Pelodiscus sinensis: one gene and its partners. The protein of the gene in region 3 interacts with the protein of the main gene of each other region in a pairwise test. Links are inferred from orthologs where the notes say so. Each region holds a gene or a part of one and is shown on either strand. Other genes may lie near its edges. The genes, in order: RBPMS, ACTG1, NTAQ1 and macrophage migration inhibitory factor.

The links.
Region 1: the proteins of NTAQ1 (region 3) and RBPMS interact in binary tests that used the Homo sapiens proteins (3 or more experiments, as listed by UniProt). The two-hybrid records come from large-scale screens. The link is inferred for Pelodiscus sinensis from reciprocal best matches to the Homo sapiens genes NTAQ1 and RBPMS.
Region 2: the proteins of NTAQ1 (region 3) and ACTG1 interact in binary tests that used the Homo sapiens proteins (3 or more experiments, as listed by UniProt). The two-hybrid records come from large-scale screens. The link is inferred for Pelodiscus sinensis from reciprocal best matches to the Homo sapiens genes NTAQ1 and ACTG1.
Region 4: the proteins of NTAQ1 (region 3) and macrophage migration inhibitory factor interact in binary tests that used the Homo sapiens proteins (3 or more experiments, as listed by UniProt). The two-hybrid records come from large-scale screens. The link is inferred for Pelodiscus sinensis from reciprocal best matches to the Homo sapiens genes NTAQ1 and MIF.

The regions. Positions count from the first base shown.
Region 1 is NC_134715.1:5,179,115-5,186,379, forward strand, and holds the start of RBPMS (RNA-binding protein with multiple splicing), read right to left. Parts: upstream 3,016-7,265; 5' UTR 3,008-3,015; coding exon 2,570-3,007; intron 1-2,569.
Region 2 is NC_134730.1:27,479,153-27,486,230, reverse strand, and holds the start of ACTG1 (actin, cytoplasmic 2), read right to left. Parts: upstream 3,014-7,078; 5' UTR 2,872-3,013; intron 2,161-2,871; 5' UTR 2,148-2,160; coding exon 2,025-2,147; intron 1,920-2,024; coding exon 1,680-1,919; intron 1,388-1,679; coding exon 949-1,387; intron 796-948; coding exon 614-795; intron 512-613; coding exon 368-511; 3' UTR 1-367. UniProt on the Homo sapiens protein: Actins are highly conserved proteins that are involved in various types of cell motility and are ubiquitously expressed in all eukaryotic cells.
Region 3 is NC_134712.1:19,804,316-19,811,302, forward strand, and holds the start of NTAQ1 (protein N-terminal glutamine amidohydrolase), read right to left. Parts: upstream 3,002-6,987; 5' UTR 2,550-3,001; coding exon 2,467-2,549; intron 1,471-2,466; coding exon 1,371-1,470; exon of another isoform or gene 1,271-1,370; intron 469-1,270; coding exon 418-468; intron 1-417. Other genes in the region: ATAD2 (ATPase family AAA domain-containing protein 2), read left to right, coding at 5,575-5,796. UniProt on the Homo sapiens protein: Mediates the side-chain deamidation of N-terminal glutamine residues to glutamate, an important step in N-end rule pathway of protein degradation.
Region 4 is NC_134725.1:6,003,647-6,011,467, reverse strand, and holds the start of macrophage migration inhibitory factor, read right to left. Parts: upstream 3,005-7,821; 5' UTR 2,875-3,004; coding exon 2,767-2,874; intron 1,127-2,766; coding exon 954-1,126; intron 1-953.

The DNA of each region.
Region 1 (7,265 bases), on a different chromosome or scaffold from region 3:
AAAAGTGAGGTGGGGCTGGTGAGCCTGACCTGGCTGGCCCCAGAAACACACTGAGAGGAATTAAGCAGAGTTACCAACCCTCCTGAAATGCGGCCAGGCAGTAGGTGCGGGGTGTGCTTTGAGAGAGGCCTCGCCTCCCGGGCGTGCCTGCCTCTGCACTCCACTGCATGGAGACCCTATGTAACCGCACTGCCCTGGCAACGCACAACAGCATGGGCCTCTCCCCTGCTCACCCTGCCATGCAGTGCTTCCTGGAACGGGCGTATGGCACTCCCCTGCACTGCTGCTGTCTGGGTGCTGTCCTGGGATCCCCCAGCCGGGCAGGGCAGGCAGTGCCAGCCAGGCACACAGCCCCAGAGCGCCCGGGGCAGGGCAGTGCCAGCCAGGCACACAGCCCCAGAGCGCCCGGGGCAGGGCAGTGCCAGCCAGGCACACAGCCCCAGAGCGCCCGGGGCAGGGCGGGCAGTGCCAGCCAGGCACACAGCCCCAGAGCGCCCGGGGCAGGGCGGGCGGTGCCAGCCAGGCACACAGCCCCAGAGCGCCCGGGGCAGGGCAGTGCCAGCCAGGCACACAGCCCCAGAGCGCCCGGGGCAGGGCAGTGCCAGCCAGGCACACAGCCCCAGAGCGCCCGGGGCAGGGCAGTGCCAGCCAGGCACACAGCCCCAGAGCGCCCGGGGCAGGGCGGGCAGTGCCAGCCAGGCACACAGCCCCAGAGCGCCCGGGGCAGGGCGGGCAGTGCCAGCCAGGCACACAGCCCCAGAGCGCCCGGGACAGGGCAGTGCCAGCCAGGCACACAGCCCCAGAGCGCCCGGGGCAGGGCGGGCAGTGCCAGCCAGGCACACAGCCCCAGAGCGCCCGGGGCAGGGCAGGCAGTGCCAGTCAGGCACACAGCCCCAGAGCGCCCGGGGCAGGGCAGTGCCAGCCAGGCACACAGCCCCAGAGCGCCCGGGGCAGGGCAGTGCCAGCCAGGCACACAGCCCCAGAGCGCCCGGGGCAGGGCAGTGCCAGCCAGGCACACAGCCCCAGAGCGCCCGGGGCAGGGCAGTGCCAGCCAGGCACACAGCCCCAGAGCGCCCGGGGCAGGGCAGGCAGTGCCAGCCAGGCACACAGCCCCAGAGCGCCCGGGGCAGGGCAGGCAGTGCCAGTCAGGCACACAGCCCCAGAGCGCCCGGGGCAGGGCGGGCAGTGCCAGCCAGGCACACAGCCCCAGAGCGCCCGGGGCAGGGCAGGCAGTGCCAGCCAGGCACACAGCCCCAGAGCGCCCGGGGCAGGGCAGGCAGTGCCAGTCAGGCACACAGCCCCAGAGCGCCCGGGGCAGGGCAGTGCCAGCCAGGCACACAGCCCCAGAGCGCCCGGGGCAGGGCAGTGCCAGCCAGGCACACAGCCCCAGAGCGCCCGGGGCAGGGCAGGACGGTGCCAGCCAGGCACACAGCCCCAGAGCGCCCGGGGCAGGGCAGTGCCAGCCAGGCACACAGCCCCAGAGCGCCCGGGGCAGGGCAGTGCCAGCCAGGCACACAGCCCCAGAGCGCCCGGGGCAGGGCAGTGCCAGCCAGGCACACAGCCCCAGAGCGCCCGGGGCAGGGCAGTGCCAGCCAGGCACACAGCCCCAGAGCGCCCGGGGCAGGGCAGTGCCAGCCAGGCACACAGCCCCAGAGCGCCCGGGGCAGGGCAGTGCCAGCCAGGCACACAGCCCCAGCAGCGCGCAGGGGGACTCAGCCCGCACACGCTGGCTGGGGGCTCTAGCTGGAGCCGAGCGGCGCGGGGCCACGGGAGCTGAGCGCTCCAGGGCACCACGAGTCCCGCCGGCCGAGCCGCCCTGCGCGGCGGGGGGCAGCGGGAAGGCGCGGCCCCGGAGGTGGCGCTCCGCGGCCCGGGCGCCGTCCCCGCAGCGGGCGAAGGCGGGGCCCGGCCGGAGCGGAGCAAACACCTGAGTGAGCCCGGCGGGGCGGCCGGAGCGCCCGGGACAGACCGCGGGCACCTCCGGAGCCTCCTAGCTACTCCCCAGCCCCGCTCCCCTCCGGGATCCGGCCCCTACACCGCTCCCCCCGCCCGGCCCCCCTACACCGCTCCCCTCCCCGCCCGGCCCCCCACACCGCTCCCCTCCCCGCCCGGCCCCCCTACACCGCTCCCCCTGCGCCCCAGCCCCGCTCCCCTCCGGGATCCGGCCCCTACACCGCTCCCCCCGCCCGGCCCCCCTACACCGCTCCCCCCAGCCCCAGCCCCCCACACCGCTCCCCCTGCACCCCAGCCCCCCACACCGCTCCCCCTGCGCCCCAGCCCCCCACACCGCTCCCCCTGCGCCCCAGCCCCCCACACCGCTCCCCCTGCACCCCAGCCCCCCACACCGCTCCCCCTGCACCCCAGCCCCCCACACCGCTCCCCCTGCGCCCCAGCCCCGCTCCCCTCGACGCCCCGCCCGGCCCCCCTACCCCGCTCCCCTCTAGCCTCCCCACACACCCCGTCCCGCTCCCCGGCCCCCGCACCTCCTGCCCCGCTCCCCCCAGTAGCCACACTGCCCGCCCGCCCCCCCAGACCCTGTGCCCCGCTCCCCCGGGGCCCCGTCCCGCACCTCGTCCTCGGGCAGGCTGGGCTCGGCCGGGCCGCTGTCCTTGTCGGCGGGGAGGCTGTTCATGCTGCCGTCCCGGGGCGCGCGGAGCCGGCTGCGGAGAGGCTGGTCCCTGCCGCTGGCAGCAGCATCCAGGCGGGGCGGGCGGCGCTGCTCTGAGCCCCCGGCGGCCCAGCCCGGCCCGGCCCGGCAGGGAGCAGCGGCGCGGGGGCGGGGGCAGCCAGCGCGGCCGCCGCTGGGGCAGGAGTCCGGGGGCCGTGCGCCTTGCGCGCTCCGAGGCCAGCGCCTCCCGGCCCCCTGGCGTGGGGACGGGGCGGGGCCGGGTGTGGGGCCCTGCGCGCCCGGGGCCCGCTCCCTCGTGGGCTGCCAGTCACAATGGCGCAGCCCCGAGGGCAGCCTCACCGCCGGGGGGTGGAGGGTTCTGCTGTTGTGGCCACTCATTCAGCCCCTAACCCTGCTCCCTTGGGCACCAGCCGCCAATGGGCCTCGCCCCCTGGGGCCCTGGCACCTCCCCCCCATGTACTGTTCTAAGGCACCAGGCACCCGCCGCCAATGTTGCACATCGAGGTGCCCCACTCGCTAGAGCAGAGGTGGGGAACCTCAGGCCCGTGGGCCGGATGCAGCCCCTGAGGCTCAGGGCTCCCCCCCCCATCAGGGAGTCCCTGCCGCCCCACCATGGGGCTTGAGCGCACAAAATCTACCAGGCCAGGGCCCCCTAGACTCTGCCCAAGGAGAACGTGGGGACTGTCTGTCTCCTTCTGAGTGAGCCCCCCATCAGTGAGGGTTGCTCAGGTGTGTGGGGGCTCAGGTGTGAGGGCCTCCCCAGCTGCCATTGGTCAGGAAACAGCCAATGAGACTGCAGATCTGGTGCCCGGGGTGGGGACAGTACATGGAGTCCCATGGCCACCTGGCCTAGGAGTTAAACCTTCTGCTGGCCGCTTCCGAGGGCCCAGTACAGTTTCTGGTGCCAGGACAGACAGGGGGCCTGCCTCAGCACCCTCACTGGCCACCCTACAGCACGGCACCCCAGTGCCTGGCATCCCACGACCCAGCGCTGGGCTGCAACGTGTACTTTGAAAATCACAGGATCACATTATAAGGAGCAACTTTACATTGAACCAACTTTGCACTTGTTCTGAGTTTCTCCTCTTGCATCCTGAGCAGGAGAGCACTGGTGCAGTCCTGGGCTATGCTGGATCTACACTGAGCCCCACTGAAGGCTGGGCACTCCCCTGACAACAGGCTATGCCTCCACAGATCCCATTGCAAGATCTAGCCATAGCCCCCCACATTCACATATTACTTCCCCCTTACCAATGTTCCCTCTTTTTCCATACCTGTGCAGAATAAATGTTATGTGCACCACGTCACGAGCAGCTGTGCACCCATCAGTAGAAACACTTGCTGTGAGATCTCTGCTAATGAGCTGGGCTGCACCTGAATGTCTCCTGGATTGCTTTCAGGAAACACTGATTCGCAACCCCCCTTGGTCTCAGCTCAGCCCATTGAGTGCAGTCCAGAGGTGACAGTAAGCAGGTGTGCCCGGGTGTGCAGCTCCAGCAAGGAGCTCTGGAAAGAGCTGGCAGGGACCAGGTTGCAATAGGACAGTCCCTGTAAGACACTGTCAGTTGGTTTCAACGCTGGCAGTCTGAGCTCGGACCAGAGTGGCTGTGCCGGAAGCAGGGCAGAGGAGAGACTGGACAGTCCCCCCGCACTCCAGTGCCCTGACACCGGGGGCAATGGAGAGAGTCCCTCAATTGTCAAGGCCGAAAGAGGCACCTCATTGAAACTCAGCCGGCCCCTGCAGAAGAGAGAGATGTCACACAGCACAGTCCCAGCACTGGGGTGGGGACAGACAAGGGTGACAAATGGGCCCGTGGGCTCCCCCCCAGCATACAACATATGCCTCTTTCCCTAGAGGGGTACCTATCCACCCTCCCAGACCCCTTCCCAGCACCCAGCTTCCTTGGTACACTGGTGGCACTTACAGAACTTGGCCAGCACGGCAGATACACAGGGCAGCACAGGCTGTCTGTCTCCATGCGCCAGGGGATGCTTGAAGGAGGGTCCAAAATGAAGCATCTTCCCCGACCTGTGGGTGTTGCTTTGTTCCCTTAGAGGTGACTGTTGGGGGTGACCTGCCCTGGGCCCCAAAAACACACTACTCTGCTTTATCTTGAATACTGCATACAGATGTGGTCACCACATCTCAAAAAGGATATCTTGGCACTGGAAAAGTTCAGAAAAGGGCAAAAAAAATGATGAGGGGTTTGGAACAGATCCCATATGAAAAGAGATTAAAAAGACTGGGACTTTTCATCTTAGGGAAGAGGAGATTAAGGTGGGGAGGATGATAGAGGTATAGAAAATCATGACAGGTATGGAGAAAGTAAATAAGGAAAAGTTTTTTACTTGTTCCCATAACATAAGAACTAGGGGTCACCAAATGAAATTAATGGGAAGCCGTTTTAAAACAAACAAAAGGAAGTTTTTCTTCATGAAGTGCACAGTCAACCTGTGAAACTCCTTGCCAGAGGATGTTGTGAAGACCAGGAATTTAAGGGTATGTCTAGACTACATGTCTCCATTGACAGAGCCATGTAGATGAGTTTACTAGACATAGGAAAATGAAGCGGCGATTTAAATAATCACTGCTGCATTTACATCAAAATGGCCACCATGCTGTGCCGATCAACTGTTTGGCGGCACAGCGGGGCAGTCTGGACGTGCCGCGGTCGATGAGGGAAGCCTTTGTCAACCGCTCCGGTAAACCTCATTTCATGAGGCATACCGGGGTGGTCAACAAAGGCTTCCCACATCGACCGCAGTGCATCCAGACTGCCCCGCTGTGCCATCAAAAAGCTGATTGGCACAGCGCGGCGGCCATTTTGATGTAAATGAAGCAGTGATTATTTAAATCGCCGCTTCATTTTCCTATGTCTAGTAAACTCATCTACATGGCTCCGTCGACAGAGCAATGTAGTCTAGACATATCCTAAGGGTGCATCTCCGCTGCACCCTTACCTTGAAATAAGCTACGCAATTTGCGCTAATTGTGTAGCTTATTTCGAGGTAATTTCAAAATAGCTTATTTTGAACTTTGGAAATAAGGTACTATTCCAAAACATCCCTTAACCCTTGTGGAACGAGGTTTACAGGGATATCAGAATAGCGAGCCCATTATATTTCAAAATAATTGGCGCGCTCAAAAGACACAGATTAGCTATTTCGGGATACTACCGAAATAGCTTTGCTGTGTAGATGTAGCCTAACAGGGTTCAAAAAAGAGCTAGATTAAATTCATGGAGGTTAGGTCCACCAATGGCTATTAGCCAGGATGGGCAGGGATGGCGTCTGTTTGTCAGAGGCCGGAAATGGCTGACAGGAAAGGGGTCACTTGAGGATTCCCTGGTGTGTTCCCTCGCTCTGGGGCATCTGGTATTGGCCACGGTTGGAAAACAGGCACTGGGTTGGATGGACCTTTGATCTGACTCAGCGTGGCCGTTCTTATGCTCTTGTGCTCTTCTCTCTCACATTGTGTGCACACGCTTCTGGGGCTACCTCTCTTATTGCACCTCTGCACAAATGGACGAAAGACAATTCGCATCCCATACAAAATATTTCTCCAGGCCTAATGCAATCTCAGGCCCAAGCACATGGCAGTATGCTGATTGGGAGGGGGGTCGTGTGTGTAGGACTGTTATGAATGATATGCTTGACTCAGGGCTAGCCTTACCCATATGCAGAATATGCAGCTGCGTAGGGCCCCCAAAAATGTGGGGCACCAGTGGGTCTTAATATCCACCCACCTGCCTCTTCTTAGCGCTGTTCTGTGACTCCGCTTCTTCCGGAGAGGATCTAGTTAACGTAAAAATGAAAAAGCCAGCGCAGTTAACAGACATTGAAACTGTGAAAGAGCCATTCAAGGGAGAATGAAGTAACTGAACAGGCATTTGTCAACTCCAGGTATATACTGTCAGGTTCTGAATTTACTTTCATTCGGGTGTTGCTGAAGTGTATAAAATTCACAGCTCTAAAAGTTCTCCCCCCCCCCCGCTGCTTTGGGGCGTAGGGCCCCACAAGTCCTGAGGACAGGCCTGCTGCGGCTCGGAGTGGCTACCCCACAGGCATAGAAGGGTTAAGCAGCTGCAGTGGGGCAGAGCAGGAGACGCGAGGTGTGTCTCTTACTTCCCTGTGCTGGCGGGAGGGGGGATGAATGGGCGGATTGTGAGTGCTCTGGCTGAAAGGACCCCTAGTGAATTGCAGAGAGCTGCTCCTGCCCTGTTCACTGGCTGGGCAGGATGCCTCTGCTGTCCAGTGTTCCCCGAGCCGCACGGACCACCTGGCAGGAGTGCAGGACGCCTGGGGCTCTATGGATCACAAGGGGCAGGGGGGAGGGCTGTGTCTGCATGGGCAGAGGCTGTACCACTGGCTTCTTCCATACTGTACGTTCAGCGAAAGGGTCGGCTTCACCTTGTCTCTGGGCTCTTTCACTAACTTTCAAGCCGTAGCGTCCTATGGTCCCCTGGCTGCCTTCTTCTTAGCCAGGAACTCCTGTGCTGCTGCTGCTGCCCACGCCACTTAGAACAGCCCCTCCGCGCCAAATGGAGCCCCAGCCTGTTCAAATTTCCTCTCCAAGCCCGTCCACAGCCAGCGCAGCTCCACACGCGTCATGTCCTGCTCCGGAGCCGGGCGGCCT
Region 2 (7,078 bases), on a different chromosome or scaffold from region 3:
TATTGGAAGTCTGACAAATACCCTGTACAAATCTAGGCTCAAACCCTAGAATTACCAGGAGTCACTAGCCCATAGTGAGATACTTGAACATTCTTCTACCAATACAAGCTAACCCTAGCATTTATGCCACATGAGTGATGCCACCTGTACCAAGGTTTGGTCAGATACATACAGGGTAGGTGCTGAAATGTACCAGGGGAACAGTTAACTTGAATACAGGGTCAAATCAGCAACTTCGAGTCACTGACATTTGTCTTACAGACTTTCCCAAGGGCAAGTTTTTGAAAAAAGGCTTATTCCAGTTTTATGAGGCTAGCATGAAGTGTATAAATTTGCCCAGGCAAATGTATACTAGTGAAAAGTCCATTTAGAAGCATTTACGGTGGACGATGGATGGGCCAGACTCATCGTATTCCTGCTTGCTGATCCACATCTGCTGGAAGGTAGAGAGAGACGCCAAGATGGAGCCACCAATCCAAACGGAGTATTTACGCTCAGGTGGAGCAATAATCTAGAAAGACAGGAGAAGCAGTTAGTCAGTGGTCAAGAATATCTGGAAAGGCAGCCTCCTCCTATGACTCAGTAGCTCTTTGGAAAGAGGAGAGCCATTTACCTTAATTTTCATCGTACTGGGTGCCAGAGCTGTGATTTCCTTCTGCATTCTGTCAGCAATCCCAGGGTACATTGTGGTTCCCCCAGACAATACTGTGTTGGCATACAGGTCCTTTCGAATATCTACATCACACTTCATGATGGAGTTGAAAGTGGTTTCATGAATGCCACAGGATTCCATACCTAAGAGACAGAAGTGATCAGACTTCAGTTACCCAACCCCTCCCCTAACCAGCTTTAGATTGCAGTCAGCACTGCAAAGCTAGCACTTGGCAGTCCAGCGATTCTCATGGCTTGTTGTGTTCCAGCACAGATGACGGTTTGGTAGATACTTACCCAGGAAGGATGGCTGGAAGAGGGCCTCTGGACACCTGAACCTCTCATTGCCAATGGTGATCACCTGACCATCAGGCAACTCATAGCTTTTCTCCAGGGAGGATGATGAAGCAGCAGTAGCCATCTCCTGTTCAAAATCCAGGGCAACGTAGCACAGCTTTTCCTTGATGTCACGCACAATTTCCCTTTCAGCTGTGGTGGTGAAGCTGTAGCCTCTTTCTGTCAGGATCTTCATGAGGTAGTCTGTCAGGTCTCGGCCAGCCAAGTCCAGACGCAGGATGGCATGGGGTAAAGCATACCCCTCGTAGATGGGCACAGTATGGGTAACACCATCACCAGAGTCCATAACAATACCAGTGGTACGACCAGAGGCGTACAGGGACAACACTGCCTGGATAGCAACATACATGGCTGGGGTGTTGAAGGTTTCGAACATGATCTGCAAAGAAAGTTCTGTTTTACTACAGGTAGTACGAAAACCTCGCCTCAAGCCAATCTTTGAAAACATGCTTGCATGCAAAAACTGATGTGCTGGGAAAGGAAAAGCAAAGAACGCAGGCAGAAAGAAAACAAAAAAAGAAACCTGAGACTTCAGGAAGGAAATGCCAGGAGGTGTACAGAGCCCTGAAAATATTGAAAGAACACTTGAGTTTTAAAAGAGATCCATAACGAAAGAGATGGTTTGTGAAACAGGGAGGAAGGCAGATCACAGACTACTGCAGCAAGTGTACCTGTGTCATCTTCTCTCTGTTGGCCTTGGGATTCAGGGGAGCTTCTGTCAGCAGAACAGGGTGTTCTTCAGGTGCTACACGAAGCTCATTGTAGAAAGTGTGATGCCAGATTTTCTCCATGTCATCCCAGTTGGTGACAATGCCGTGCTCGATGGGGTACTTGAGAGTCAGGATACCTCTCTTGCTCTGGGCCTCATCGCCTACATAGCTGTCCTTCTGCCCCATGCCAACCATGACACCCTTTAAAAACAAGGCAGGCCGTAAGTGTCAAGGCCCCTTTTCATAACCCCCAGCAATATTACACCTGGCCACTCTCACTTCACGGGTACGTGGCTGGCTGCTCACCTGGTGTCTCGGGCGCCCAACAATGGAGGGGAACACGGCTCGAGGGGCATCATCTCCTGCAAAGCCAGCTTTGCACATGCCAGAGCCATTGTCGATGACGAGCGCTGCAATTTCTTCTTCCATGGTGGAGATCTTGCTGCAGAGGGGAGAGACCTTGGTCAAGGGCGGGTCCAGCACAGGCTGAGCCAGGAGAGCTCGGTCTGTGCTGCAAGCCAAGGCCGGGGGGGGGGGGGGGGGGGGGGGGGGGCCACCTGCAGGTGCAAGCCAAGGCCGGGGGGGCCCCCACCTGCAGGGGGTCACTAACTGCACCCAGGCCTGGCCCTGCAGGATCCCAGCAGCTGGAGCCAGACGTGCCTGCCCCGCCCAGCTTGCAAAGGCGCCACCCCCCATGGCAGCGAGGGCAGCCCTGCCCCCAGCCCGCAGCACGCGCTCAGCCGCCTACAGCCCCGGGCAGGGCGCGAGGCGCAGCCAGGTCCTCTCCCCCCGCCCGCCCGCTGCGCCAGGGGCCTGTTGCCGGAGCAACGGGCTAGCCTACAGCCCCGCCCCTCTGCCCGCGGAGAGCGACAAGCAGCCCCACCCCTCTCCATTCAAACAAACCTCCCGCTCTATTACGTCACCCGCCAGGGGGACCAATCACAGCCCCTACCTGGCCAGAGCCCGCACACGGCCACGGCCTCGCGCCATTCAAACGGCCGGCCGGGCGGTACCACCGCGAACCCCCAAAGGGGGGGGCGGCGCGCGCCCCAGCCGGCCCGCCGGGAAGGAGCCCGGGGCGCGCCGCCGCGGCCTGCGGTTGGCGAAGGGGGGCGGCGCAGGCGGGCGCCAGGCCCCGCGGCCCGGGCAGTACCTGTGGGCAGGAGGCTCCGCTCGGTGCTGCGGGACGCGAGGCTGCTGGGTCCGCTGCCGCCGGCTGAGTGAGACCGTGGTGCGCGCAGCCCCGCCCTTTTATACCCGGGGGCGCCGGCCCCGCCTCGCCGGCCGAGAACATAGCCATATATGGAGATCTTTCCGAAACACGCGCGGCCATTGGCTGGCGCGGCCCAGGCCACGTGGGGCGGCTGGATGGCCTGGCCCCGCCCCTCCCTTGCTCAGCGCGCTCCGCAGCCTGCATGGAGAAGGGGGCGCGGCCTGGGCCAGTAGCGGGAGCGGGGAGACCCGGCCCCCGGGAGCCCCCCGATACCCCCCCGAGCCGGCCCCAGGGAGCCCCCCGATACCCCCCCGAGCCGGCCCCAGGGAGCCCCCCAATATCCCCTGAGCCGGCCCCCGGGAGCCCCCCAATATCCCCCCGAGCCTGCCCTGAGCCGGCCCCTGGGAGCCCCCCAATATCCCCCTGAGCCTGCCCCGAGCCTGCCCCCGGGAGCCCCCCAATATCCCCCTGAGCCTGCCCTGAGCCGGCCCCTGGGAGCCCCCCAATATCCCCCCGAGCCTGCCCCGAGCCTGCCCCCGGGAGCCCCCCAATATCCCCCCGAGCCTGCCCTGAGCCGGCCCCTGGGAGCCCCCCAATATCCCCCCGAGCCTGCCCCGAGCCTGCCCCCGGGAGCCCCCCAATATCCCCCCGAGCCTGCCCTGAGCCGGCCCCTGGGAGCCCCCCAATATCCCCCCGAGCCTGCCCTGAGCCGGCCCCTGGGAGCCCCCCAATATCCCCCCGAGCCTGCCCTGAGCCGGCCCCTGGGAGCCCCCCAATATCCCCCTGAGCCTGCCCTGAGCCGGCCCCTGGGAGCCCCCCAATATCCCCCTGAGCCTGCCCTGAGCCGGCCCCTGGGAGCCCCCCAATATCCCCCTGAGCCTGCCCTGAGCCGGCCCCTGGGAGCCCCCCAATATCCCCCCGAGCCTGCCCTGAGCCGGCCCCCGGGAGCCCCCCAATATCCCCCAGGCCCTGCCCTGAGCCAGCCCCCGGGAGCCCCCCCAGTTGGACCAGCCCCCCTCCCTCTGGACCCTGCACTGTGCCCCCCAGTATCCCCCCCACATCCCCTGCGCTGTGTGCCCCAATATTGCCCCCACACCCTGTGCCTCCTGACACCTCCAGCCCTTGCGCTCTGCACCCACTGGCAACCCAGGATCTCATGCTCTGCACCCCCAGGCCCTGCACTGTGCCCCCTCATGCTCTGCATTCCCTGGTATACCCATGCTCTGCACCCCCAGACTCCGCAACGGCACCCCTGCATCCTGTGCTGTGCCCTGCTGCCACCCCTGGGTCATGCAGTGTTTGACTCAAATATATCACATATCACTGCCCCATGCCAGGAGGGGTGCCCCCATGTCCCAGAGGCACTGGCAGCGCATCCCCCAGACATGGTATGGCGTGTCCCAGGCACAGCGTATTGTAATTGTGTCTCAGCTGCTAACCAGTTGCATTCAGACCCTGCCACGCACCTTCATCCTAATGAGCCGCAGCAGTAACCCCATCGTCCAATCCCTCTTCTCGCTCTAGCAGTGCCTCTGCCACCTTGTGCCCAGCGCCACCCCGCCGCCCCTGGGGAGCTACCTGGGCTGCATGCTCACCAGTGCCCTGCAATCAAGGCCTGCAACTTGATGGTTTAAATCTTACAGCCTCTTTCCTGCTAGGGCTTCAACGGCACCTTACAGTGACGGGCGGGCATCTCTAGCTGTGGGTTGCCCGGGTTTGCATTTGTTTTTAATCGCGATTGCCATCTTCAGAGGGGTTTCCAAACAAGCTAAGAAATGTTTGCATTTGTGGTTGTTTTCATGGGCTCTTCTGGTGCCTCAGGGAGCCATTGCTGGGGACATAATACCTCCTGCATCACAGTTGCAAGAAAAAGCAAACCCCAAGTGACTCAGGTTTATTCAGTGCCCAGCCCTCTTGTAGAGTGCAGTGGGTCCTCAGCTAGGGGATTATGGGAGCTGCATGAATATGGACAAAGGGGGAAATAGTGAATGTAATTAAAAACAAGGGGACATGGAACAGGGATTTCGGGTAAACGTGATTTTCTAGGTACAGTTGTACTGAGTATGCAAACAGCAGCAGTGAAATGCAGCCATCTCTGGGGTGAAGCATGACACAGCAGGCCCCGAAAAGAGCATCCCTGTTCTACACCGGGGTACAAAGTGACTTGGATGTGTTTGTCAACTCTCAGCATACCTGTATGGGTGGGAAGAGGTTAGCCCAGTAGGTTGGGATCTGCATCTTTGTTGCCCAGGAATCTAGGTCAGTCAGGCTGGGGAGATAATCACTAATTGTCGATTGAAATCTGGCTGTATGATGCAAATGAATGGACAGCAGGACTTGATTGGAACAAAAGGCTGGATGAGGCTCATTGCTGGACTCTCCTGCCTAGCAGCTGAGGGAGTAGCTAGCTTCAGCTCCATTTTACAGGTGGGTAAATGGAGGCAGAGAACGGTGAAGTGGTTGTTCCAAGGTCACAACAAGCCAGTTAGCAGGGCTGGACCCCTGACATCTAGTTACCACTGGAACCGTGAGTAGGCCCTGCCTGGAGGGCTGTTGTGTGACAATGATTGTGTGCAGCGCAGCGTGCAGAATACAACTCAGGTTGTTGTGTAGTCTCTGCTCGGAGTGATGGAAAAGGCTCCTCTGGAGAGCAGGCCACTATCTTTGTAGCCCCATCTTCATTGTCAGGGAGACTCCACCCTTTTGGAGAAAGGGCTTTGTCATGTAAAGCCCTGAGCACATGTGGGTGCTACATAAACAAACTCCACCATTACCTTGGAAGCAGGAAAGGTGAGCTTGGTTCTGGCAGGCCAGTGTACACAAACGAAGCAACACACCCCTGGATTAGCTGGAGGAATGAAATACACAGGAGTGGACACCAGATCAGCTCATCTCTAAAAAAAAAAAAAATCAGAGGGGGTGGAGCTCAGAGAATTTCCTGGCATGTGGCATGTAGGTGGGGTGGGATTGGAAGTTACTATGTGGACGAGTTCTTTACAATGGGGGGGGGTTCCTAATATTAGCGATGAATAGCCAGGTGGCGGTGGGCTGGCGGTCCTCTTTGCCTTTCCCCTTCCAGCCCAGGACACCTCCAGCGCCTCTGGGAAAAACACGTCATCTTCCATCACTGCCGGCCCTGGCCTGGCGGGGGGTGGGTTAATCACCAGAGGAAACAGCCATTATTCATCCCCTCGGCACTAAAAGGCTTTTATAGCCGTGCTCTAGAGGTGCTGATGGAAACCAGCCAGGCCTTTGGGGTGAGAGGGCGGGAGGGGGGGCCACGCCTGCTGTTCTTTGTTCTCCCGGCCCGGCGCAATGGCCTGGCAAACCCGCTCTGCAGACAAGGGTCTGGATGGCCTGCAAATCCCTGTGGCACACAAGCAAGATTGGCACCCGACAGGTTAACTGCTGGGCGCTTCCCATCCCCACGGGCTCCATCCAGAGGTGGCTAACCAGCCAGCCCTGCTGTAGGTGCCCGTGACGCGCCTCCTCCCCCGGACAGTAACTTGTTTCTCTTCCTCTTGTCCAAACTAGGAAGCCGATTGCCAGCTCCGCCAATCCCCACTCGTCAGCGCGGATGAGTAACTCCCTATCAGACTCAGATCCTGGGTAGGGCAGCCCTGGGCTCCAGGTGACGAGAGCGGGGGCAGAACACTCATCTCAGATAACCCGTCTGACCCGTGCCCCCGACCCACATCAGCCTGTAGACCCCCTCGAAATACACCAGGCACAGTACCCCCCGGGGACCGCCACGCCTTCTGCCCGTCCGAGTGGGGACGAGACCCCAGCACATACGAAGAACAATGCCAGCCTGCCCCGAATGGCTGCCTGGAGCACCCTCCCTTCTGCCGGAGCGCTCGGGGGGCAAACGGGCATCAAGGCTGCCGCCCGCAGGGTATCACCAGCTGCCAGGCATCAGACACAGCGCCCCCGAGCACCGGTCAAAGGTTTCTCTCGCTGCTTTGCTTTCTCCCTCCCGGGCCGGAGCTATGAAGCAAGTAGCCATAGGGCAGTGGGGTGGGTTCTGATTGGCCTAGAGCAGTGGTTCCCAAACTTTTCAGCATCACGCCCCCTTTCTGATTTTTGAGAAACCCTCACGCCCCCCCCCCCCCCAATAGCAGCAAAACTCATTGAGCGAAAAAAAATC
Region 3 (6,987 bases):
GCTTAAGAGCAGGCAAAGGGAGTTGTTGCCCTGGGCTCAGTAATTCCCTTTAAATTGGCACGCCAGGTGGCTCTGAAGGCAGAGGAGGGGGGCACTGAGAGCTGGCTTCTCAAGCCCCACCCCTTCTGTCCAAGACCCATCCCTTCCCAGAGTGCACAGCCACTGCTCTCACCCCCCTTGCCCAGAGGCCCTCAGAAGCTTTCAGCATCCCTGCTTAAGAGATTTTGGTGAAGGACCTTGTCAAAGACTTTCTGAAGGTTCTGGTACACTACATACACTGGATCACCCTCATTTGCTGACACCTTCAAAGAATTCTAACAGGTTGGTGAAGTCTGATTATTTTTATTGCTTAACATGTTGGTAGTACTAGAACAATTAAACATGGTACAAGAATCTATATAGACCAGAATGTCTTACCCAAATCACAGGTTCATCTCCACGTCCTGATTGTTGCTTCCACAGTGGTATCTGCAAATTACCAGTTAGAAGCTAATGTTAAGTAAGCTTTAAAAAAAAAAATCTACAATTTGTCTAATATGAGATGATAAAATTAGTGTTTATCTGTGATGCAACACGTAAGCTTTTATCAGATTGTTTTTTAACTTTTGAGCTTAAACTTTGGGCATTGTTTTGGATCACACAGACCATTCAGTCTCCTCCGCTGACTGATAGTAATAAAGGAATCCCTGCTATCCCATTCTCAGGGAGGTGATACTTCTCCAGATGTCCACCCCAAGGGACAGACTACCATACATGACTAAAAGACGTGCCTTTTAGGTTCTTTTCAATATCTGTGTGACCAGGGGGCCCAGGTGAGCTACAGGGGTCTGGCCACATTTGTGCCTGGATTAGGGTTACCAGAGTGTTTCAGAAAAATACCGGACATACATGATCTCACATTGGGGATGAGGGACCAGTTACAGGAAGCAGGGCTGACCAGGAGGGAGAGAAGGGGAAACCGGCCAGCGGGAAGCGGGGCTGGCCCGGGTGCACGGAGATCCCGGGGTGCTGCCCGTCCCGCACACGGTCTTGGCAGGGTGCACAGGTAAGTCCGGCCCTAGGGATTCCATCCCAACCTGGCACCACCCACCTCCTCTCTACTGTGTAGTTGCATACTGCCTGGCCAATAGACACACTCACACAGTGTGAGTGTGTCTACGAGCCAGGCAGTATGCAACTATGTATTGTTACTCATGATAATAATAAAACTTACTTAATTAGAAAATACCAGACATTTATATGTCCGGTATTTTCTCAATTTGTTTCCTAGACAGAAAGCTCAAAACTGGACACATGGCAAACCTAGCCTGGATCCATCTTTCATTCACAGTAAATCGGTTTTGATTCAATAAGGCAACTTATCAACTTACCATCCTTCTTTCATTGGATATGAAAACAGCAAAAAATTCTTCTAAAGGATATTGATCATAGCTTCTGATGTATTCACAAAGTTTCCAAACATTTTCCTCACTGTAAAAATACAAGGTTTTTTTTGTCCCCAGTTCTTGTTTTATTTCTGATTTATACAATAAAAACAGCATGGCTGTTATAACTTTCCCACTTTTGGATTCATTTTTCTGTTGAAGACTTTTTCCCAGCTCCTTTCACACATGTATTTTTAAGCTCTAAAATGTAGGTTCAAGCCTTTAAAAAGGTTTTACACAAATAATTCATAGGTTTTTTTGGCTCTACTATTAGACAGCAAGAAGCATAGCTTGGTTTACTCTGTCATGACATGCTTTAATACCAAATGATTGGTATAGTTAGTGTTTTGTCTTTTCCTTACTGTTTGTGGCAAAGTAGTTTTGATTAAAGTGTCAACAAATTAGGTTAAATAAACATTTTACCTGGAAAGATACATGTCATCAAGTGTATGAAACAACTTGACAAATATAAAATTTTAAATAGACTTCCATCTGATCTTAGTGACATATTAATTTTATATATATATATATATATATAATAGTTTAGCACAATTCTAAAGTAATAATCGTGTATATAACATTTAATACTACTATTAATAGTTTTGCACAATTCTAAATAAACTGTCACTGATAATAGGACAGGATGCACAAATTATTAATGGAACCATAAATTATGTTCTGATAAGCTATTCAGAAAGCCATACAATGATCTTGTATATTGTTATTTGTCAGTAAATCATCCTCCAATCATCTTGGTTAACCAGTACTATGAGTGTCCTAACCAATGCATCCTTTTTTCCTAGAATATCAAATGCTATCATAAGAAAAATAATATTCTATCTCCAGGCTGTTATGACCTCATTTTCTTCTGCTTTGCCTCCTGCAAGAGTATGTACAAGTTTTCTAAAGAAAAATGGAAATATGGGAGATTCCAATGGAAAACAATGACTTTCAGTACATCCACTCTTTGTGCATTAATTCCTTGACTAATGAAAAAGAAGATTTACCCAGCCACATTTCTTACATACCTATTACTACTTACCAATAGCAGCTGGTATACACACAAGCATGCCGAGCAGGGACAGCTGGCTGGTAACCTGCAGCTCCTACTTCTGTCTGTTCCATATGCGACCCTCATCCAGAGATATGGGAGTGCTGGGTTTAATAGGCTAATAGGCTCATACACCTCCCCCAGCTGTATAAAGCACCGGCTCGCTCAGGAAGTGTTTATGCCGGAAGTTAGTGAGTTACAAGCAATTTCTTCCCCCAAGGAAATCCGGATGTTAGTGCTTTCCTATGACTAGGAGCTCAGGCAGGCAGGAGGGAGGGGTTTTATCTTGGATACGAAACAAGATAAGTTTCTAATTGCTCTATTAAACCCCACCATGTTACATCAAAGGCAGGAGAGAAGGGGTCAAGTTGAATCAGAAGGGTGGGAAAAGGGAATTTTTTAACCCAGAATAGGTTGCAAAATTTGAGTCAGGATGAGCAAAAGGGACGTTTTAGCTTAATGAGATGATCCAGAGGCTGCCAAAACAAAGGAGAGGGGGTTTGAGTGGGGAGGTGAGATCCTGAACTTACAATGGAAGGGAGGGAGAGACCAGAACAAGCCTTGACAAGAGGGCAGGGCTGGGCTGGGCTAGCTGATGAAAAGGGAAGATTAATTAAATCTGCACCTGTTAGTGAGGGAAAGGCTGAACATGAGCCACAGGAAAATGCTGGGGATGAAAAGGAAACCTGTTCTCAAAGTGCATAGAAAACATCCCCAGAGAAGTATTTTTTGTCTTAAATGTACAAGGCCAAACAGCTATTTCAAAAGCTTCAGAGGGGTAGCAGAGTTTGTAACAGGAAAACCTTAAAAAACAACAAATAGTTCAGTAGCACCTTAAAGACTAAGAAAATATGTAGATGGTACATGTAGATGTCGCTTTTGTGGGCACAACCCACTTCTTCAGATGACCAGAGTGTTGGAAATTCATATCCAAGAATAAATAAGGGAGGGGGGAGGAGAAGAAAAAAAAGGAGGGGCAGAAAAAATGTGACAGTGAGTAGATAAGCTTTAGAGCAGTGGTCCCCAACCTGTGGAGGTTGCCGGGCGCCAGGGGGCGTGGCAGTTCGCCCGCTGGGCGCCAGGGGGCGGGGATGGGGGCGGGGTCCCCCCATAGCCATGCGCCCGAGGCCGGAGCCCCCTCCCCCCCAAGCTCCGTGTGCCCGGGGCCGGCGCCGCCCCCCTCCAAGCGCCCGGGGCCGGGGCCAGCGCCCCCCCTCCAAGCGCCGCGCGCCCGGGGCCGGCGCTCCCTCCTCCCCCCCCCCAAGCGCCCGGGGCCGGCGCTCACCCCCCATCCCCGCCCCCCGGGGCCGGCGCTCACCCCCCATCCCCGCCCCCTGGGGCCGGCGCTCACCATGCGCCTGGAGCCGGCTCCGGCACTGTGCGTGCACCACGTGCCCAGGGCCAGGCCAGCCCCGAGCACGTGGCGGGCGCACACGAATGCCCCCGCGGGCGCCATGGTGGGGACCACGGCTTTAGAGAGATAGCCAAGTTAGTCTGTAACAGGAAAGACTTAAAAATCAAGAAATAGTCTAGTAGCACTTTACAGACTAAAGCTATTTCAAGTTCAATATATCCATTTCTAGTTGTCTTTTTGTTAAATTAGTGGAAAGAGATCAAGCCCATTTAAAGTCCTGAAAACCTGTGGAAACTTGCATACCCTGGCAAAACCAGTGGCTGCACAAGGGACTTTAATCTCCTGGCCATACAACACACAAAACAGCATACTTTTATACAGTGTTTTTACAGGTAGCACCACACAAAGTCAGGAGGTTTAATAATGTAAAATACTTTTGATATTAAAAAGCTGTATTCGTTGTTGTGCAAAAGTGCTGTACATTTGTCTAGTAGCTATTATGTCTTACCCCATAGTTTGGCAATGGGCAGGACTACCTTCAGGAGGGACTGTGTAGAAAGTTTGACATTTTTTCCCCTAGCACCACAAAACATTTCTTAATTTATTTCCAGGCCGTGACACTTCTGTAAAATGGTGTCACATCAAAACTACAGCAAGTTCTCAATTTTTTATGACTGAGATCACATCAGCATTTTGGCTGTTTGGCTATGAGCTTTGTAGCACACAACTTACTTTTTATTGAAGTGTGCTAAACTTTGCATGATTTTAAACTTTTTGAGAGAATGAAATCTTAATATTCTAAACTTCTATTTGGCTTATTGCACTGGCAGTGGGAAGCAAAATAGAGGAAGTGGGGGCAGGACTTTGCTTAAACAGTTTATTTTGGAGTCAAAATGTGATTATTGCACTCCTGTGATGGAATATGCTAGCTACTAGAGTTATGTCCCCAAGATGGGCCTAGGATAGCCAAAGATCAATATTTTCTAAAATAAGGAATTTACAGATGGGCTGCTTACTAAATCAATGCCCAAACCTCCCCCAATACGAGTTTTGGGGTGTCCACTATTTTTAAAAATCAAACCATAATCCAGGTGTTAAAAAGTGGAATGGGAGTCTAACTTTAGGTCCTTGTTTTTTTAAAAAAAGAGCTTGTTGCTACAAATATTAAAAAGTTGGACTGCAGATGTCACAGGTCCTAGCAGATCACACAAAAGCCAGGTCCTTTACCGTAGGCTCTTGTAAGGACTGCAGCTGCCCCACGCCGGGCTCTTGCTCTGTGATTGAGGAACAGCTGTCTGAAACACGGGCAGTGTCCCTTTAAGGGACGGGCATTTGACTCAGTCCCATTTCAGCGGGAAACACTGGGGCGGGCTGCTGAGCGCCTTTCTTGTAGCCAATCAGAGCCGGGTAAAACAGTCTTCCAACTTTGCACGCGCCAAAAATTCCAAAAGGACGCATCACCTATGCGTGTCTCTCCGCCTCCCTTCGGGAACTAACCTACAGGGAGAAAGAGTCCTAAGAGACAACCGGACGGAACGGTCCGCCTCGGGCTGGCCGAAAAGTCAACGAAGGAGTGTAAGAGCGGGTGCCGTATTTCACTAGTGGCGCTACTCTGCTCTAATGAGAGGTAGAGGCGGAGGGATACGACGGGAGGGCGGTGACGCGGCAGCCCGCGGTTTGTGGCGCCAGAATTCGGAGAGAAGCCGCCGCCCCCTTCTTCAGCCGGGGACGCGCCAGCTCCGGCCATGGTGATGCTACGGAGCAGCACGGGCAGCGGCAGTCCGCTCCAGTCTGCCGCGTCCCGGGGCAGCCAGGCGTCCCTGTACGACCTGATGGACTCGAGTGCCGAGTTCCTGTCCTTGACCCCCGCGCCGCGGAGCCGCAGGATGGGCACCCGCTCGGCCACAGCCGCCTCCGGCAGCAAGTGCGGCAGAGGAGCCAGGAGAGCGCCGTCAGCAGCGGGCAACGTGAGTACAGGGCAGCCTGGCTGTGCAGATCGAGGCGGATGCCGCCTGGAGCGCACGAGAACCCCACCGCCGCACTGGCCTCCGTGGTGAGGGGCGCTGCCAGTGCGCACTAGGTGGGGGAGGGGGAGCTGAGCTCTCCTGGCCGCGGGCGAGAGGGGTGACCCCACCCCGCCTGCAAAAAAATAGAGGCGTGGCCTGCTAAACTCCACCCCCTGGTGCTGGGCGGAGTAGGGAGCCAGCCAGAGTGAGGGCTGAGGGAGCTTGTGGTGGCACGTCGAACTCGTCTTCCTTATTCTGGGGTTGTCTCTGCCCCTGGCTCCTTCTGGCTTTTGGTAACCGGAGTAACCGCGAAGCTGTGGTCGCTCCCCAAGGGCTGGCTCCAGAGCCTCCTGCTCACCTACTGTTTAAGGGTCAGAGCCTGGCCCTTAGGGTTAAAATTGTGTGGCTTTAAGTGCGGGGATAAGTAACATAGGTGAGACAGCGCTTTACACTCTTTCTGATGTAACTTGGTGAGGTCATAACTCTCTTACTGTGGTTGGCTCTGTTTATCTCCTTGCGGCCACTGTTTTGTTTGATTTCAGGATAGTTAATGTTACCTCAGGAGATAACTCATCTTTTTAAAAGCTGAGGCCAAGGCTACAACGATGAAATATTACCGAGGTGGATTGTGCAGATTAACACATAATAAAGCTTAAAATTTTGTTAACTGCAGTCATTAGAGTTCAGTTAACACTTTAAACAAATCAGTGAGGGCAGATCATGTCTTTACACGATGATGGAACCTGCTGAAGCATAAAATTGTAGAGTGCTAGAAAGGAGCAATGAAAGTCGTTTGGTTAGAAAGTTAAACCAGGTCAAAATGCTCCACACAGATCTGTCCCTCTGTTAACTCCTCTGGAATCCATTAAATGTTTCCATATCCACAGTAAAACCATGGGGAATGCCACTCTATAACTTCAACTTTGTAGGAAAATAATTCGTATATGAAAGTCAAATGTTCAAATCTATTTAACTACTAAATGACAGTCTGGACATTTCTGGTCTACGTGACATTCCAACTGAAGGTGTATGTATGTACATGTCACTTCTGAAATGCAAAACAACATGTTTTTCAGTTAATTTCACAGTAGTCATAAAGCTTCATAGTTGCATAATTTAAATTTTAACAGACCTAAATTTTAAACTTTGCCC
Region 4 (7,821 bases), on a different chromosome or scaffold from region 3:
CTGACAGAAGCAGCAAGGGGTGGGGAAGCGACTAGTCGAGTTCCTATTTGACTACCCGATAAGCATTTGCTTATCGGATAGTCAACTAGTCGCTAACATCACTAATCCCTGCCTCTTCACACATAGGCAGCAGCAGCAGCTCCTCCTGGTTGCCACTGGGTACTGCTGCTCTACTCCCTTGCTGGCTGACAGAACAGCAGCTGCTTGTCAAGTGGCAGAATTCTTCTGGGTCTCCTTGCCTACCTCCAAACTCCCCAAGGTGCCCAATGATCATCCTTCATGCCAGGAAAAAAAAAAAAAAAAAAAAAAAGAAGAGGGCACTGAATATTATTCATTTGTGTATCATATTTAACCCTAACTCCCAAGGCTCAGATTATACTATATCAGCCAGCCACTTGGGATTATAGGTAGCCTACTAGACCAGTGGTTCTCAACAAGGGGTATGCAGAGGTCTTCTGGGGATACATCAACTCATTTAGATATTTGCGTAGTTTTACAATACACTGCATAAAAAGTACAAGTCAAGTCAGTACACACTACAATTTCATAAAATGACTTGTTTATAGGGCTGTATGATGAAATATATATATTCAATATTTATATTCTCATGTATTTTATAATTCTATGGTAAAAATAAGAAAGTAAGCTATTTTTGTCTGATTTTGTAAGCAAGTATTTAAGTGAGAACACTTGCGGGTATGCCAGAGACTCCTTAAAGAGGTACAGTAATCTGGAAAGGTTGAGAGCCACCTGAACCACATTAATCTGGGGCCAATTCATGGCACCAGCACACGACTGTTGTGAAGTCTGAAAGTTGTATCTCTCTATTCACAATAGATAAGAGTTTTCCCTTGGGTGTTAATAAACAACAGCCACCAGGGAGCATAATAGAGAATCCAAAGAAATAATTTAGGCAAGCCAGTAATTTGAATGTCACTCTAGTGCAGCCTTACCTATCTGCAGGTATGTGCAGTTGTTTAGTGAGCAGGTCACACAACAGCTTGGTATAGTTCTTGTTCTGCTGGCCTCCTATCTTGCCAATGCTGTGCAGGCTGCAAAGGGCACAGGGATCCGTGGAGCCTCCAAAGGACATCAGCTGATCTGCTACAATGTGCACAGCTATGTACTGCGAAACAAAATCAACTGTTAGTGAGGAGGTTAATATTCCGTCCTCAATCTCTCTCCTCTGAGGTGTATTTAGTTGGAATCCAGAGAGCAGGCTTGTTTCCTGGGATTAGCTATGGCAAGCACAAGTGGTGTTTAATTGTACATTTCTAAAGCATCCACTGCAATAGTACAGTACCTTTGCCAGACACATAGCGATGTAGCCCCCCAGCTTAATTTTAAATAATTCTGTGAAGAATGACTTAGTAATCCTCTTCATTGACGCTAATATTCAATAGGACTTGCTTTCTAGCCAGTCAATGTTCAGCTATTGGTAGGGCTATAATTGTTAGCCTCTATACATGGCACATTACAGAAGCCACTGACCAATCAGCTTGCTCCCATAAATCTATAAAACTTTAAGCACAGGAGGGCTCTGTTCTCTTGCTTGCTCTACCACAGATTCACTGGTGTTGACTGTTGGTACACCAGCCTTTTGGTTCTCATTTTACACCAGTACCACTGAAATAGTGTGACTGCAATTCATGGAGTAAGCCCATGGCCACCTCATCTGCTAAGCCTGCTTACAGGCATGTTAGGATAACAGAGTGATCAAAACAATAATGGGCTGTCTACTCTGATGCTAATAGAGCTTTAGCTCCCATTACTGTGAAATGGAAGGGACATTCACAGAAAATTCCAGCAGATAATAGCCACTGTATCACCTAAGGCAAGCTACTTGGCTACTCTATACCTCTGCTAAGAGAAGCCAAAGATGCACACCCATATTTGCAAAGTGTCTGAGAGCTTTGGGGATGAGAAGCCTCTGTATGTGCAGGATATTAGTGGAACATTTTCTTGACTTAACAGGATATGAAACTTTGCCTGGAGCTGAGTCACGATCCTTCTTACCCATTGCTGCCCTCTGTGGCAAGTTTTAATGTCCCATCGGGCTTTCTTGCAACACAGTCAAAAAATGGTGACCTCAGGTAGCATTAGTCTTTTGTACACACCATTCTTTAATAGCGAAGACCCATTTTGATCTTGCTTTTGTGGACCTCATAGAGCAAAATACTTGGTGACAGGAACTTGCCAGGTTAGTAAGGTTACTTGCCAGGTTATACACCCATTGCAATGGGAACCTACCCATTTTAACAGGACCGTTCCCTCCCACAAGCACACCTCTCTATGGCAAACTGGGATAGTTTATTCGCTTTAACGAGCAGATAAGCATGCGAGAACCCGCCCAAACCATGCACCCCTAGCGCCTGGCCTTGTCCACGAGGCAGTGTAGTGTCACTTCTGCCTATGAGTCAGACGCACAGTCATTTATTCCACAGCGGAGAAGCAGCCAGCCCCCTGGGGCCATGCAAGCACGCTTCCACGTGCTGCAGGCCTTCCATCCCCGTCTCGCCTCACTCCCCCAGACAGACAACCCAAGCTGGACTAAAGGCTGTCCAGAGAAATTAGAGATCTCCCCTTTACACTGAGAATAGTTACAAGAGACTCAATTCTGTTTCCGCTAGGGTGAGAAAGAAAGCCCCTAGCGGGGAGACCAGCACCAAGGCTCCCGGCTAACTCTAGCATCCGTCGGCGCTGCGACTTGCCCTTTCTGCAAGCAACCTGCAGCGCCGGGATGGAGTTACAGCCTCCGCAACTCACCTGGGCAGGCTTGCCGGTCGCCTTTGCTAGCTGCTGGGTGAGCTCCCCCGTCAGGCTCTCCGGCACCGCGTCCTTGCTCACGTTGGTGTTCACCACAAACATGGGCATCTTGGAGCCTTGCAAAGAACTGCCCCTGTCTGCAATGCGGACCCTTTGCCCCTGCAGCAACCCGTTCCGCCGCTGCCGCCGCCGCTGCTGCTGCAAAATGGAGCTGAACCGGAGACCCTGCCCTCCTCCCTCGCTGGATGCTCCGAAATGCAGCCCATGTGATCAGCGCTAGGCCAGATTCTTAAAGGGACAGCAGCGCCCCAAACACGGGTCCCTCTCCGCAGCGCATTTTGGCAACTGCACAATCCGTTCAAGCGCGGTCCTGGGGCACCTGCTGGATGTGAAGTGTGTGTAGTTTCCCCTCGTCATTCCTGCCGGGCGTCTCCCCATGCCTCCCTTTGCTCAGGCATTTGCTTTATTATTATTTTATTAAATAACTGTATACATTCTATATCAATAGAATTTATATCCCTGTAACTATGAAATGTGTAGATTCTGTATTTTATATACTGATAAATATTTATATACATATTTATATTGCGGGAATACCCAAAGGCTCTCCTATGGACCCCGTTGTGCTGGGCGCTGTAAGAACTGGCCCTGGCTCAGATAAGCCATTGTATGAGGCTAATATCAGATAAAGACTTATGCTGTGAATAGGTCCCGCCCATCCTCTGATTTCAGTGGGACTATGGATGGTGGGGTGACACCTACCATAAGCCGGTCTGCAGGATGGGGGCAAACACGCAAGTTCTACCCAGAAAGTGCTCTTTTATTTGCAAAATAAATGGTAGCCCTCTGCACTTTTTTTATATACAAACATGTGTGTTTGGGTTTGCCTGGTTCTCTTCCCCCCACCCCCATCACATAATGCAAACCATGGCTTATGTCTGTGTTGCTGGCATGAGTTCTACAGTTCTTCTCTTTTGCTTTTCACTCTTACATAGGAAACGATTGTGGCCACGATTTCTCTATTGTGTCCTGTCTTTTGTTTCAGCTAGACCAGACTAACAGGGCTGCATCTCTATCACTAGTCTATAGTCTGTGTTCTTGTTGGAACTGAATTATGCAGACGTGCTCTGATCCTGGCTCGTGCCTGAAGAGGAGTGAGCTGCCTTTATGTAGAAGCCAAAGGCTGCTTGGGACATGAGCCCTCTGCTGGGCTGCGTGCTGAGATGCACGTAGCTTTCCCCAATGCTGCTCAGGCAGACTGGTAGGTAGCATGTCATCCCCAATTCGCACTAGTCAGATGACTCACAAAATGGAGGGTAATACACACACACACACACACACACACACACACTATATATATAAATGGAGGGCCACAACACACACAGACAGAGCCAATATATACATAATCCTATAATAAGTAATGACCCACAAAACCAGTGTACAATAAATAATGAAAGGCAGCGTCTGGGTCAAGAACACGGGTGAATGTTTTAAGATGTTTTTGTAATACCATTTAGAAAAATGAGCTGTCTCTATTATTCCTTGCAATTGCTTAAATCATTCTCCTTCTCTGCTCCCCAACCTCCAGCTCCCTGAAAGATTGCAGGAAGGTAAGGGTATTGCTTCTGGGAATTTATGCAATACGGGAAGAGGGGGAGGAGCGTGCTGCAGTCAGTGACTGCACCCCAGATATTCTCACTTTCCCTGGTCTGCCAACCCCAAAACAGTAGAACCCTAGCCATGCTGCTGTTCTTGTACGGAGAGGATCTATGGTCTTTCTCGGGAGTGATGCTGTGGATGTACTCTTCTCCACTTTGGCGGGTTTCCCCTACACACTGAGAGGCAATGTTGGGCCCTCTCTTTGGATTTCAGGTATGCATAGGGCTTGCATGTTCACTAAAACTGCCCATGTGCATGTGTAACTCACTTGGAGTGTGTATATGTTGCACATGCACACACGAGTTTAAGCATTCATTTTTGGTTACACAGCATACTTTATAAAATGTGACCTGTGCCTTTTGTTCTCACTTAAGCATGGCCTCATACAATAGAGACTCAGAGTTATGAACACCAGAGTTATGAACTGACCAGTCAAACACATACCTCATTCGGATCCAGAAGTACATCTCAGGCAGCAGTAGAAACAAAATAAACAAAAAGCAAATACAATACAGCACTGCATTAAATGTAAACTTACAAAAAAAAAGTTAAGCAGCATTTTTCTTCTGCATTGTAAAGTTTCAAAGCTGTATTGTTAGTATTCAGTTGTAACCTTTTTGAAAGAGCTACCATAACTTTTTCTTCAGGGCTGCATACATTTCAGAGTTACAAAGAATGCTCATTCTCGAGGTATTTGTAATTCTCAGGTTCTACTGTATTTTATAATAATAATAATAATAACAATAAATAATAAATCTCAGGAAGAAAGGTATTGAAAAAATTAAGATGCTGGAATCGCACCCAACATTTTTTTTAATGCAATGCAAAGCAGTTAGGTCCAGATCCTCAAAAGGGTTAAGCTCCTAATTAACATTTAGGGCCGGCTCTAGATACCAGCAAATCAAGCACATCCTTGGGGCAGCACAATTCCAGGGGCGACATTTCCAGGTAAGCAGACATCCCCCGGCACTGCCCAGCCCCGCCCCGCCCTGACAATTTAAAAGGGAGCTTGGCTCTGGTTGTGTGTCCCCGGGAGCTGGCTGCGGAGCGCGGCACAGCCAGGCTCTGCCCCTCCCTGCTGGCTCCAGTCCTGCGGCGGCCCCAGTTCCCTTGGCCGGCGAGAGACCGCTCCCTGCCGGCTGCCCGGCTCGCTGTGCCCGCCCCGCCCCGTGCCCCTCTGGCTCCATACCACCCGTTCCCCACACCGCCCCTGCACCCCGCACCCTGCTCCCCTGCACCCCAGTCCCTTTGTTCTCCCTGTTCCCTTCGTCCCTCTGGCTCTGCGCCACCCGTTCCCTGCGCTGCCCCTGCACCCCAGTCCCCACATCTCTCTGGCTCTGTGCCACCTCTGTACCCCGCAGCCCCTTTTCCCTGCACTCCTCTGGGTCTGTGTCCCCCATTTCCTGCACTGCTCCTGGACCCCGATCCCTCTGCCCCTCCCGTTCCCTGCATCCCATTCCCTGTGCCTCCTCTGCACCCCGCACCCTGCGCCTCCCATTCCCTGTGCCACCCCTGTATGCCCACACTGTTCCTTGCACCCTTCTGGCTCTGTGCACCCCAGCACCCCAGTCCCCTTGCTCCCCCTGTTGCCCCTGCCCCTCTGGCTCTGTGCTGGCTCTGCTGCCCCGGTGGGTTGGGAGTGAGGGGTGCTTGTCCATAGGGCGGGGCTGGACAGGGCAGGGAAAAGGCTGTTGTGACCCAGCAGCAAGTGAAAGGGGAGAGGGAGTTTACTTGAAGTGCTTTTGCATTTATGGAAAAAAAATAATTAAGATTACATTTGCTATTTATAGGGCTAAAATGCCGGGACAACAAAAATGAAAACAAACAAACAAAACACTGCAAAGTGCAAACGTGTAAAAGCCAACAAAAAAAGGGGGGCGGGATTTTTTTTGCTCGGGGTGGCAAAAAACTAGAGCTGGCCCTGCTTCCATTCCAGTCTTCTATGTCATTGGAAATTGCTCAGCTGCTGAAAAGCGGGAGGGGGGATAAATGAGTGGAGTTTGTCCATTTGCTGTCTCTGCACATTCCAAATCCTAGGACCTGATACTGCCCTTTTGAAGCAGATGTGATCTGCTTTCCTCTAAGCAGTTACCTACCTACCGACAACTATGGGTTTTTTTTAGTGTAAGTACAATTTTGGACACACTTTTGCTAATACAGATACAGGCAGGGTTCGCAGGGTCGCCCTACCGTTAGTTTAAAATGTGCCGACGGAGGTTATAGCTTCACTCTACAGCTTTTAGCCACAAGTCTGTGTGGATATAGCCCTGTCACGAAAAGCAGGGCCAGCATGAGGTGTGTGCAGTCAGTTCCCCCGCACATGGCCCTGCACTTTATTATTGGCCCCTCTGTCCTGGGTGGCGGATTCTACCTAAGGCATGTCCCAAAGCTGTGGGCAGCACATCGCAGTGGTGGCCTCCCCCCTGGAGGGGCCCCCAGCCCACAGGAGGAGGAAGTTGCCATGCACACTGGTGCTGAATGTGCCCCATGTGCCCCCATGCCGGTTGCTGCCTTCCCAGGATCACTTTGCTTCGCTGGGGGAGCAGCTGCTGAAGCTCTGCATGGGCAGAGACAGAGCTCTGGGCTGATGCGCATCGCTGGTGGCCTGGGCCACAATGCCCCATTCAAACTAAACCCGATAGATAATCACACCAGCCCTGGATAGAAGTCAGCATGTGTGAGCCCAGTTTGTTGGCACTTGTGTTGACTGAACACTTGTGCCCCCAACAAGGGGGTTCCGCTTCGGGGACAGCTGAGCTCTCCTGCTGACACAGCAGTGTTCACACTTTCACTTGCTGCGGCAAAACTTTGTCCTTCACGGAGGGGGGTGGGGTTAAGCACCCGTGGCTGATAAATGTTTTGTCAGTCACATGGAAGTGTAGACACAGCCTGATTCTAAAAGAAGGGCAGAGCCAGGGAAGCCATGCTATTCAAACTATTTTTAAATACAATTTAAAATCAGTTCAAGTTAATTCTGTTTACATTTTGTTAGACCGGCTACTATAATCAGGCCATAAAGCATATCTAAACTTCATTTAGAAGCCCAGATTTTTACCTAGTAGAACATACGTTCCTAAATTAATTTTTAATTTCTCCACACAGGCTAACGTGACTGAACTCTGTTTAAAAGGAACCATTTTATATATTAAACAGCATTTTTAGGAAGCACATTTCCTTAAGTATTGTCAAAGGGGGGCTGGTCCCCTTAAACAAAAGCGGTGAGGAGTCCTGTGGCACCTTATAGATTAACCAAAGTGTTGGAGCATAAGCTTTCGTGGGCAAAGACCCACTTCGTCAGATGCAGGTAGTGGAAATTTCCAGAGGCAGGTATAAATATGCAGGCCAGGATCAGACTGGAGATGACGAGGTGGGTCCAGTCAGGGAGGATGAGGCCCA